Linked DNA regions of Struthio camelus. The protein of the gene in region 1 purifies or fractionates together with the protein of each later gene. This does not show direct contact. Links are inferred from orthologs where the notes say so. Each region holds a gene or a part of one and is shown on either strand. Other genes may lie near its edges. The genes, in order: tubulin alpha-1A chain, TCP11L2 and DNAJB6.

What was found.
Region 2: the proteins of tubulin alpha-1A chain (region 1) and TCP11L2 purify together in Homo sapiens (affinity purification with mass spectrometry; 3 studies listed by BioGRID and IntAct, counting the BioPlex papers as one, with this or other methods). This does not show direct contact. The link is inferred for Struthio camelus from reciprocal best matches to the Homo sapiens genes TUBA1A and TCP11L2.
Region 3: the proteins of tubulin alpha-1A chain (region 1) and DNAJB6 purify together in Homo sapiens (pull-down; 3 studies listed by BioGRID and IntAct, with this or other methods). This does not show direct contact. The link is inferred for Struthio camelus from reciprocal best matches to the Homo sapiens genes TUBA1A and DNAJB6.

The regions. Positions count from the first base shown.
Region 1 is NC_090969.1:909,358-913,100, forward strand, and holds the start of tubulin alpha-1A chain, read left to right. Parts: upstream 1-1,031; 5' UTR 1,032-1,354; coding exon 1,355-1,357; intron 1,358-2,941; coding exon 2,942-3,164; intron 3,165-3,244; coding exon 3,245-3,393; intron 3,394-3,743. UniProt on the Homo sapiens protein: Tubulin is the major constituent of microtubules, a cylinder consisting of laterally associated linear protofilaments composed of alpha- and beta-tubulin heterodimers.
Region 2 is NC_090942.1:61,813,876-61,817,618, reverse strand, and holds the start of TCP11L2 (T-complex protein 11-like protein 2), read left to right. Parts: upstream 1-944; 5' UTR 945-1,276; intron 1,277-3,743. UniProt on the Homo sapiens protein: Promotes the migration of muscle-derived satellite cells (MDSCs) during differentiation throught interaction with FMNL2 and therefore may participate in microfilament assembly.
Region 3 is NC_090943.1:10,887,320-10,891,062, reverse strand, and holds the start of DNAJB6 (dnaJ homolog subfamily B member 6), read right to left. Parts: upstream 2,621-3,743; 5' UTR 2,478-2,620; intron 1-2,477. UniProt on the Homo sapiens protein: Has a stimulatory effect on the ATPase activity of HSP70 in a dose-dependent and time-dependent manner and hence acts as a co-chaperone of HSP70. Plays an indispensable role in the organization of KRT8/KRT18 filaments.

The DNA.
Region 1 (3,743 bases):
GCAGATGGAGGGGGGAGACGTGGCCCCCCCGTCCCCCCGCTGGCCCCCCGCTGGGTCCCAGGCACCGGCTGCTCCTGGAAGCAGCTGCCGCTGGGGCTGGGAACCCCCCGGCCGCAGCCAGCCCATCTGCAGGGCGCTGCCCAAACCCCCCGGGAGCCGCTCCAGGAGCGGCCGCGGGGCTCTCCGGTGGGGCCCAAGGGGCTGACTGGGGTGCAGAGAGGGCTGGCAAGGGAACAGGGCCACGGCGCGGCTCTCACCAGGAGCAGGGCACGGCGGGAACGGGCAGCAGGATGGGGCTGGGGACCAGGGCACCGGGGCACGGCCAGGAACAGGGGCACGGCCAGGAACGGGGACCAGGGCGTGGCCGGGAACGGGGACACGGCCGGGAACGGGGACACGGCGGGGATGGGGACCAGGGCGTGGCCGGGAACGGGGACACGGCCGGGAACGGGGACCGCGGCACGGCGGGGATGGGGACCAGGGTGTGGCCAGGAACGGGGACACAGCGAGGAACGGGGACCGTGGCACGGCGGGGATGGGGACCAGGGTGTGGCCGGGAACGGGGACAGTGCTGGGAACGGGGACCGTGGCACGGCGGGGATGGGGACCAGGGTGTGGCCAGGAACGGGGACACGGCCGGGAACGGGGACCGCGGCACGGCGGGGATGGGGACCAGGGTGTGGCCGGGAACGGGGACAGTGCTGGGAACGGGGACCGCGGCACGGCGGGGATGGGGACCAGGGTGTGGCCGGGAACGGGGACAGTGCTGGGAACGGGGACCGTGGCACGGCGGGGATGGGGACCAGAGCACAGCCGGGAACAGGGACCGCGGCACGGTGGGGATGGGGACCAGGGCGTGGCCGGGTATGGGGACACAGTGAGGAATGGGGACCAGGGCACGGTGGGGATGGGGACCACGGCATGGCCAGGACTGGGGACAGGACTGGTCACGGGGACCGGAGCACCGCTGGGAACCGGGGCACCAGGACACAGCCAGGAACAGGGACCGCGGCACGGTGGGGATGGGGACCAGGGCGTGACCGGGCCCGGGGCTGGGAACCGGGGCTCGGCCGGGAAGGGAGCCCGAGCACGGCCGCATCCCCCCCGGGGCTGGAGAACGACGAGGCGAGGGGGCACAAAGAGCCGAGCCCCCCCCCGCCGCTCCTTTGTCTGGCGGCGCCGGGGGGGCATTACCTCATCGCGGCCCCGCGCCAATGGCCGCCGCCGCCGCCGCCCCGCCCGGCCCCGCCGCCCGCCCTATAAAGCGCCGCGCCGGGGCCGCCCGCCGCCGCGTCTCTTACATCGACCGCCTTGGAGTCGTGCTGTAAGAAAGCCCCGGAGCCGAGCAGCCGCCATGGTGAGCACCGGCCGCGGGGCCCCGGGGGGCGGCGGTGGCGGCGGGGAGCCGCCTCTGCGCCCGCTGCACCGCCCGGCGCCGCGGCGGCGGGGGCCCCGCTCCCCGCCCCCGTTATTGCAGCAGGATGGGAGCCGGTGCGGAGCGCTCAGCTCGGTTCACCGGGCGTGGCTCCCCCGTTAATAGGGCAGGATGGGACCCGTTCCCGGTGCGGAGCGCTCAGCTCGGTTCACCGGGCGTGGCTCCCCCGTTAATAGGGCAGGATGGGACCCGTTCCCGGTGCGGAGCGCTCAGCTCGGTTCACCGGGTGTGGTTCCCCCGTTAATAGGGCAGGATGGGACCCGTTCCCGGTGCGGAGCGCTCAGCTCGGTTCACCGGGCGTGGCTCCCCCGTTAATAGGGCAGGATGGGACCCGTTCCCGGTGCGGAGCGCTCAGCTCGGTTCACCGGGCGTGGCTCCCCCGTTAATAGGGCAGGATGGGACCCGTTCCCGGTGCGGAGTGCTCAGCTCGGTTCACTGGGTGTGGCTCCCCCGTTAATGCAGCAGGATGGGACCCGTTCCCGGTGCGGAGTGCTCAGCTCGGTTCACTGGGTGTGGCTCCCCCGTTAATGCAGCAGGATGGGACCCGTTCCCGGTGTGGAGTGCTCAGCTCGGTTCACTGGGTGTGGCTCCCCCGTTAATGCAGCAGGATGGGACCCGTTCCCGGTGTGGAGTGCTCAGCTCGGTTCACTGGGTGTGGCTCCCCCGTTAATGCAGCAGGATGGGACCCGTTCCCGGTGCGGAGTGCTCAGCTCGGTTCACTGGGTGTGGCTCCCCCATTAATAGGGCAGGATGGGACCCGGTGTGGGAGTGCTCAGCTCAATTAACTGGGTGTGGCTCCCCTGTTAACGGAGCAGGATGGATCCCGTTCCTGGTGTGGAGTGCTCAGTCTGCACTGGGTGTGGCCCCCCTGTTTAATGGGGTGTTCAGGGTGGGATAAGCCTCTCCTGGTGCTGAGCACCCTGATCTTGCCCTGGGCACAGCACCAAAAGTGGGCAGGGCTGGATGAGCCCCTGGTGCTGAGTGCCCCACAGTGGGTGTGGCCCTGGTTCTCAGGGGTCCCTGTGGGGTCTGTGGGGAGGACAGGGTGGGATGAGACCCCTGTGCTGAGCCTGCAACCCACACTGCGCATTGCACCAGAGTGTGGGTGGGCAGAATAAGCGCCCTGGTGCTGAGCCCTCAACATATACTAGGGATGGCAGTGGTCCAATTGTGTGGGTGAGGCAGGATGAGACCCTCTGGTCTTCATGTTGCATGGGGTGTGGCCCCTGTTCAGTGGGGCAGGATGGGTCCCTGGTGCTGAGCACTGCCACACCGCACTGGGTGTGGCTCTGGTTCCCAAACAGCAGGGCTGGATATGGCCACGGGTGCAGAGCCCCTCCCCTCCCCGCAGTGCCCAGCACCCACAGAACAATAGAGCGGGTGCAGGGGCTGGCCCCATCCAGCCCAAGGCACAGGGCAGCGTTGTGGGGGGCAGAGCCGGCGCTGGCAGGACCTGGGGGGCGCAGAGCCGGGGCGCTGGCTCACGCCCCCCGCTCCCCCCCGCAGCGCGAGTGCATCTCCATCCACGTGGGCCAAGCGGGCGTGCAGATCGGCAATGCCTGCTGGGAGCTGTACTGCCTGGAGCACGGCATCCAGCCCGACGGGCAGATGCCCAGCGACAAGACCATCGGCGGCGGCGACGACTCCTTCAACACCTTCTTCAGCGAGACGGGGGCCGGCAAGCACGTGCCCCGCGCCGTCTTCGTGGACCTGGAGCCGACGGTGATCGGTGAGCGCGGGGCGGGGGGTGCCGGTGCTGGTGGTGGTGCCGCCGGCGGCGCTAACGGGGTGCCTGGCCTCATCCCGCAGACGAAGTGCGCACGGGGACCTACCGGCAGCTCTTCCACCCCGAGCAGCTGATCACGGGCAAGGAGGATGCGGCCAACAACTACGCCCGGGGGCACTACACCATCGGCAAAGAGATCATCGACCTGGTCCTCGACCGCATCCGCAAGCTGGTAGGGGCCGGGGGGCGCTGGTGGGCGGGCGACAAGGACAAAGACTCCTCTTCAGCTCGCCCTCCCTCCTGACCAGCAAGGCTGGATTTAGATTTAATATATTAATTAATGTTAATCCGGCTGCGCCGCCCGGCTTGGCGGGGCGGCTCCCATTGGCCGGCGGCTCCCGGCAGCAGCGTGCGTCGCAGCTGGAGAGCGCTCGGGGCCGCGCCAGCCCCCGGCCCCCCTCGGTGCTGAGCTCTGCAATTCCCTCTTTGTTCCGCCTGAGTTCCTCATCGCAGCCTGAGCCCAGCTGCGTTTGGGTGGCAACAGGCGTCCAATTGAGTGTGCTGCGGCTCCTTGTGTGCCGT
Region 2 (3,743 bases), on another chromosome or scaffold:
ATTTAATCTCCCTGAAGGCTGGACACAAAGCGGCACGGCTCTGCATCTCTTGGAAAAGCACTCCACCTCACGCAGGATGCGCTTTGCGCTCTTGCTTTTATAGCCGAGGCCGTATCGCTAGGACCTACGGTGGACTTGGGCCCTCTGAATACAGCGTCTAGCCCCATATAGTTTTGTCACACGTGCTAGTGATGAAGTAGTTGTTTGCAGGAAGGCGAGGCCTGTGTCTTGGTAAGGACGGAGGCTTGCTTTAGTAAGCCCCTGCCTCGGATGGGCGCCAGCGTTTGCCCTGCGAGGTGGGGCAGCAGTGGCAAACTAGCTCCCGTGACAGGAAGAGATGACGGCCTGACAGGTCCTGCTACCCGCCGTGGGTCTCCGAACCGGCTCCGCGGATGAGGTCAACGCAGCAGTAAGCAAAGCACTTATAATTTATAACAGCGCTGTAGGGCTTCCCGGCGCGTGCCTCAGCGGGCGCTCGCCCGGCCTCGCAATGCCGCAGCCGTGAGCCAGGCGGGAGCGTGACGGCGGACGCAGCCCCGAAGGGCTCCCTTGAGGCCAAGATGGCCGGTGGCGCCTCGACGGGAGGGCAGCGGACAGCGGGGCAGGGAAGCCTCTGGGGGGCACATTCAAAGCTTCCTCGGCAGCGCTATGAACAGAGCGGGGCGAAGGCGCCCGTGGGGCGGCGGTGCCCGGTGCCCGCTCCTGCCCTGCTGAAGGCCGGCAGTTCGCGCCCCACACGGCCCCCGCCGCGAGGGGGCCGCCGCCACCCCTCCCCTCCCCTCCCCTCCCCTCCCCCACCCCGAGGTAGCTCCCTGGGGCGGGGCTTAAGCGCGGAGGCCCCGCCCCCTGGCGAAGGGGCGGGGTCTGGCTGGACCGACGCGGCTCTTCCGTAAACACCGCCCGGCCCTTCCTCTCGCCTCTCCCCCCGCTTCCCGGCAGGGCTCATTCAGCGGGAGGGGGGGGAGGAGGGAGAAGCAGTAGAAGCGTCTTGCCTTGTAAACTCATCTTTTTCCACGCTTAGTGCTCGGCTCCGGACAAAATGAGGACGCAAGAATGATTTGTATGGCGGTAGGGAGAAGGTTAACCCAGGTCCTTCGGGATAACTCGCTACTGGCCATGCAGCAAAGTGCTAAGCACCCCCTGCTCCCGGCAGGAGATGGACGCGCCCAAGGAAGAGACTAATAGTCCGGGCCGGGTATATAACTCGGGGGGGGGGGGGGGGGGTGTTTAAAGCCCCAGCGATCGCCGCTGAGTAGGGTGAGCTGCTGTCGCCGCGGTGAGTGCCCGGGGGGAGCTGGGGCTGGTTAAAGGTGGCCGGGGGGCTCCTACCCTGCCGGGCGGCGAGCACTGGCTGCTCTGCTCTCCCGGCGAGGCCGGAGGCTCCGCAGCTGCCCCGGGGCATCCGCTGCAGCCGGTGGGTCTGGCAGCCCCGGGTGGCCGCCGCGCGCCCCGTGCCCCCTACGCCCAGGGCTGTCTCTCTTCCATCCCCTGATGGCCGCTGTCCGCCGGGGCGGCCCGGCCCGACGAGCAGCACCGGCTGCCGTCCTTGCAGCCCCGCTCCGGCCGCGCAAGGGCACCCCGGGGCTGCGTCCCCGCCGCGGCTGCCCCGCACGGCCAGGGTGCCCGGCGCCCCTCTCCCACCCCGCGGGGCCGCGCCTGGCAGCCGCTGTCACCTTCCCCGGGGCTGGCGGAGAGGGTGCCCCCTTCTCCTCTCCTCCCTTCCTTCCCCCCCGCCCCGGGCCTGTCCTTGGAAACGCTGTTTGTTTTGGTCGGCGAGTGCCAAACTCCTGCCTCTGCTAACTTAAAAAACATGGGGCTGGGGGAGGAGACACGGGGCTAAACAGATGGAGGAAGAGGAGGAGCCCGCGGCGCTTCCTCCTCCTTCTCCCCCCCCCCCCCCCGCACCGCGCCGGGGAGAGGGGGGACAACATGGCGGGGGGGGAGCACAACATGGCGGGGGGGAAGGGTCACCCCGGGCCGCCGCCGAGGGGCGGTTTTGCCCCTCGCCCCGGCCCTGAGGAAAGCGCGTTACGTTGCAGGAGGGTGTGAAGCAGCGCGGCTGTCAGAAAAGTCTGTCAGAAACGGGCTGTCAAAATTGGGAAGGGGAGAAGGGAGGGCCGAGGAGGTTCTGTAGCTCTTAACAAAGGCTCTTTTCTCCTCCTGGGCCGTGGGACCGCGGACCAAGTGCTGGCAAAGGCCGAGTCCGGAAGGGAAACTCTAGCCCAAAGGAGATGCAGTAGATGCCAGCTCTGGAGGGCATAAGCCCAGTGGGATAAACACAACTCAGTTCATAGTGGTAAAACAGGACAGAGTGCTTGAAGCGTGCGCAGAAGCAGGGCTGTGGGAAAAAAAAAAAACTTGAAGATATCTGAAAAGAAACAAAACCTGCTGCTGCTTCTTTCCCGGTGCTCCATAAAATAACTATTAAATGCTTAGGAGTAAAAGTGTGTGTGTGTGAGAGGGGGAGAGATGTTGTGGACCAGGTAATACCAAAGGGGTAAAGACGTGTGTTGTTGAGTGTGACTGGAAGGTGCCCTAAAACTAACCTTCACCTGGTCTTGTGATCTAGTCACCTCTCAGTGAATGCTGAGGTTGGGTGAAGTAATGACTGTGTAAGAGTAGGATGCTGTCAGAAAACTGCTGTGCTGTGCTCCATTGCAGATTTAGTAAAACACATAATCTGAAATTGTGTACAAACAGCAGCAGAATCCATGATAGTTGACTTCTTCCCTTTTAAATTAACTAAGACTTGGTTATGACAGAGAAGAGAAAATGGGCTGATGCCTTGGGCATTTAGAAGTTATTCTAGCTTTGTCGCATACCAAGAGCTTATCCTTGAAATACTGAAATGCAATAGAACTGATTAAAAAAAAAAAGCTTAATGAAATCTACTGCCAACTTATCAAACCTTTATTTTAATTAAAGTAGACATTAGTTACTTTTTAGTACAGGAAAGGTAAAGCAGGTTGTAATCAGAGTCTGACTCTTTAGTAGAATAGGTAGGATATTAAGTTGTCTATTAAAACAACAGCTTAATATATAATTCCTAATGAAGAACTTACAAATAAGATGGTGGTATTGTCTAGTTCAGATGTTGAATTACAAAGTGATCCTAGAAAACTAAAAGGTTTTCTGAAGTATTTTTACTTGGAAATTATATTAATCTAAACTTCAAAATTACACATTAACCTTGCCCTCTCTTAACTTCTGAGGAGGTCTAAACCGTCTACAAAAGCATACGGAAAAGAAGCTGTTCCAGTGTGTGCTATTGAGAAAGCACTAAACAATTCAGTCCTCTATTGTTCTAACTAATTAGAAAAGCCTTCTTCAGTTTGCACTTCACTTCGATATACTCAATTAATGTTTTTCCTTTGTGCTATTTAGCTGTTGGGCAGCGTATTAAAAACACTAGATTGCATATCCAGCTTCTGCTTTGTGTATTCCACTTGTTTCCTTTGATGTGCTTTCTGCCTCCCGTATCTGTTAAACTTGCAATTTAGCAGCGATGTTGTGAATCTGCAGCATACACCCATTTTCTTCCTCGCCATTTTCCTTGGGAAGTCCTATTTGGAAATCCTACTAGGAAATCCATTTATTCTGGCAGGGGTTGCAACTTTTCAGTGTCTCATGTTGCACTGTTGAAACTCGTTAATTAAGTGAAGTCCTCTGAAGTACTGTACTGGTAATACTATATGAACAGCTGTGATCTCAGTACATCAAAACAGGTTATGCGTCTCTCTGAA
Region 3 (3,743 bases), on another chromosome or scaffold:
ACAATAATTTAAACCCCAGATCAAATATAGGAGTTTTGATTTAAATTTATCTTGAAATACACAATCATCATACATAAGATCCACTAAGCTTTAACAGAGCTAGATAAGTTTTCACTAATCCTTCCATTCCTTGAATAAATCAAGTTACTTTATAGATTTAAAAAAAAAAAAATCATTTTCCGTTAGCAGAAAATGAGTTCAGGATACTGCTGATTAGGTTCTTCATAAATGCTACTGAAGAAATGCATCATTTACTACGTAAGGAGAAAAATACTGGAATACTAAACACTGCACAACTCTACGTTCAAAATCAAGGCTGGACTTCACATTTTCTAAAATCAAGGCTGGACTTCACATTTTCTAAAATCAAGGCTGGACTTCACATTTTCTAAAATCAAGGCTGGACTTCACATTTTCTAAAATCAAGGCTGGACTTCACATTTTCTAAAATCAAGGCTGGACTTCACATTTTCTAAAATCAAGGCTGGACTTCACATTTTCTAAAATCAAGGCTGGACTTCACATTTTCTAAAATCAAGGCTGGACTTCACATTTTCTAAAATCAAGGCTGGACTTCACATTTTCTAAAATCAAGGCTGGACTTCACATTTTCTAAAATCAAGGCTGGACTTCACATTTTCTAAAATCAAGGCTGGACTTCACATTTTCTAAAATCAAGGCTGGACTTCACATTTTCTAAAATCAAGGCTGGACTTCACATTTTCTAAAATCAAGGCTGGACTTCACATTTTCTAAAATCAAGGCTGGACTTCACATTTTCTAAAATCAAGGCTGGACTTCACATTTTCTAAAATCAAGGCTGGACTTCACATTTTCTAAAATCAAGGCTGGACTTCACATTTTCTAAAATCAAGGCTGGACTTCACATTTTCTAAAATCAAGGCTGGACTTCACATTTTCTATCAAAATCATCACTACATACAGTAAAAACAGACTGTTTGCTGAAACCTGAAAGTCCAATACATTGACTCAGTCAAGATGCACTACTTCTCTACAGCCTGCAGCACAAGAGCAGAATGGCTAACACAAGTGGTGTGGCATTTCAGTCAGTTGTAGGACTCCAGAAAGAAAAGCAAAAGAAACAAACTACACAAAAAAGTAAACATAGGAACAAAATTTATGAAAGCATTTACTCACTGGTCCAAACAAATCTTCTCTGACAACATAATCCAGCAAACTAAATTGTACTTTAACCACTGGGCTCTTGATTCATCAACTGAACATATAATCCTTCCTGACTGGAAAACAAGGAGCTCCCCAAAGTGTAAACAAAACTTAAGTCCAGCAAGCAGCAGTAACTGCAATCTCAGAGGACCAAGAGTTTGAACCCAGTTTCATTCCAGCTAGTCACACTATGTCAACACCTTGTTCTTATCACTCTTTGATGCTTTACATCATATTAAAAAAAAAAAAAGCACTTGACAACTGATTGACTATGCAATGTTGCAAGTTTGACCATTTGCACATTAGCATCGCTGCAAATTCAGCTTCTATAATGTTATCCTGGCCAAAATGAAATCAACCAAGCATTATCTCATTATCAGAATTCATGATAGATTTGCTCAATGTTTTCAGTCTCTTCTAACGCTCAAGTCTGTGGCGCATTTCATCAACCAGCACAAGCTCTGACTGTTAAACTGTAATACAGCATAAAGTGTTACTACAAGCAGGAATACTGGTCATAAATAACTTCACTTCCCAACCCACGGCCCTCTCCTAAGTCCTGAAAATACAAAGCCATTTATAACTTGGACACCTCTGGCCACCACTCAAATGATGTGCTGCCCTCAAACACAGCACATCATACTGAGCCTACTCTGTAAGTTAATAACAGCAAAATAGAATACAGCTTCCATCGCAAAAAAAAAAAAAAAAAGCAAAAGCACATTCAGTTTATAAACACACCAAAAAGTAAACTACGAATAAAAGAAGTTCAAGTAAAAGACGATCCAACACACTCAAAAGAGTCATGGGTGAACAGAGACTCCCCCTCACCTTTTTGCTACTGGCAACCGATGCAAACAAAAACAGAAATGCGGATTTTTTTCCCCCTAGCCCTTCTGCGCTTGCCGTAAACAGGAGAAGGAGGCCGAGCCGCCTCGGGATCCTCCGCTGCGCAGTCCCGAACTGCCGCTCCGCCACCGCGACTCCCGGGATAAGCCCAAGGAGGCCGCTGCCCGCGGGGGCGGCTCCCCCGCTCCCCGCCCCCGAGGGCCGGGGATCCCCGCCGCCCCGCTCCGCTGCCCACGCAGCCCTCGCTCCCGCCTCCCAGGAGCCGCCGCAGGGGCTCCCCAGCGCGGCGCCCCCGCGCCAGCCCGCAGCATGGCGGCCGCCCAGCCGGGCCGAGCCGAGCCGGGCCGAGCCGGGCCGGGCCCCACACCGCTGCCCAGAGCCGAGGCCGAGGCCGGCCCGCCCTGCCCGCCGCCACGGCCTTCCGCGGCCCGCCCAGCACTCACCGGCCCCGGAGCCTCAGCAGCGCGGCCGTCACCCTCCCCGCCCGCCCGGCGCAACGGCAGCGGCGGCGGCAGCGGCACCTCTCCTCGGACTCAAACGGGAAGTCTCGTCAACGCGACGCCGTCACTTCCGCCCGGCTGTTTCCGGAAGTTTCTGGAAAGGCGTGCTCTCGCCGCGGCCGGCCCGCCCGCCGGGCGCCGCGCGGGCCGACCCCGCCCCCTGCTGGCTGCCCGCCGCCCTGCAGCGCGCGCGCGCGCGCCGCCGGGGGGGGGGGGTGGGGAGGGGCTGCGTTCGAACCTCCCCCCTCCCACCAACGGCTGTAACGGCCGCCCGCGCCCGGGGGTGCCGGCCCCTCACCGGAGCCCCGGGGGCAGAAGAGCCTCTGCAACGGCCCTCCCTGCCCCAGGGCACGGAAAAGTGAAAAGGCTGATTAAAATCCCTACATGCCCATCTCTTTTTTAGCCTCAAAAATTGTAACCCTTCCCCTGAGCTTATTTTAAGGCTACATTAATTGTTTTCCAGCTGGCACCTGTACAGGTTCCTTTGTGGCTCACACTGTGCTGTCTGAAATTTAAGTATCCCTTGGGTCATGTTTTGAGTATGTGGTTTTCTGACGGCTGTGAGAAAAGCGTGAGCAGGGAGAGCATAGCATAAGCTGCCAAGTAATAATTCTATTTTAAAAAAATGGAGTTTATCCATGCTTTAAATTGCTGCAAAACTGTATTTCTTGCCCTTTATTTAAAAGAAGTTGCATAAAGGCATTGTTTTATGGATCAGTGAACTGAAATTAGAGAGTTTCCAAATGTAAAACCTATCTGCTCCCAAAATGAAGTTAATTCAAAGGCTACTCAGGAATTTGGAGATGAAAATGCTTATGTCGGAGTAAGATGTACCAACGCAAGAAGGAACAAGCAAGCTTGGAATAAGCCAGAGGAAAACCTAATAAAAATCAGAAAGGTAACTGGTAGGATAGCCCTGGCTTCGAAAGAAATTTAGCTGCAGTGAGATTTGATGCCAAACTGGGGTCATGAAAACAAGTCCTTAATTTACATCAAAGACATACCTAGCACCAGTGTAAGTTTCCCGTCAGCAATTAGCTGTGAAGTGCAGAAAGTTTTTGACCCACTTGGAAAGAAAAACAAAAAACGAAGAACAGTAGGTTAGACTGGCTCTTTCTAACAGGTGCAGTTGCAAACCTCAGAAGATTCAAGGTCTAGCAAGCTCAAGGGCAAACTGCAGATGAGTACTCTCTAGTTCAGGAGAAGATT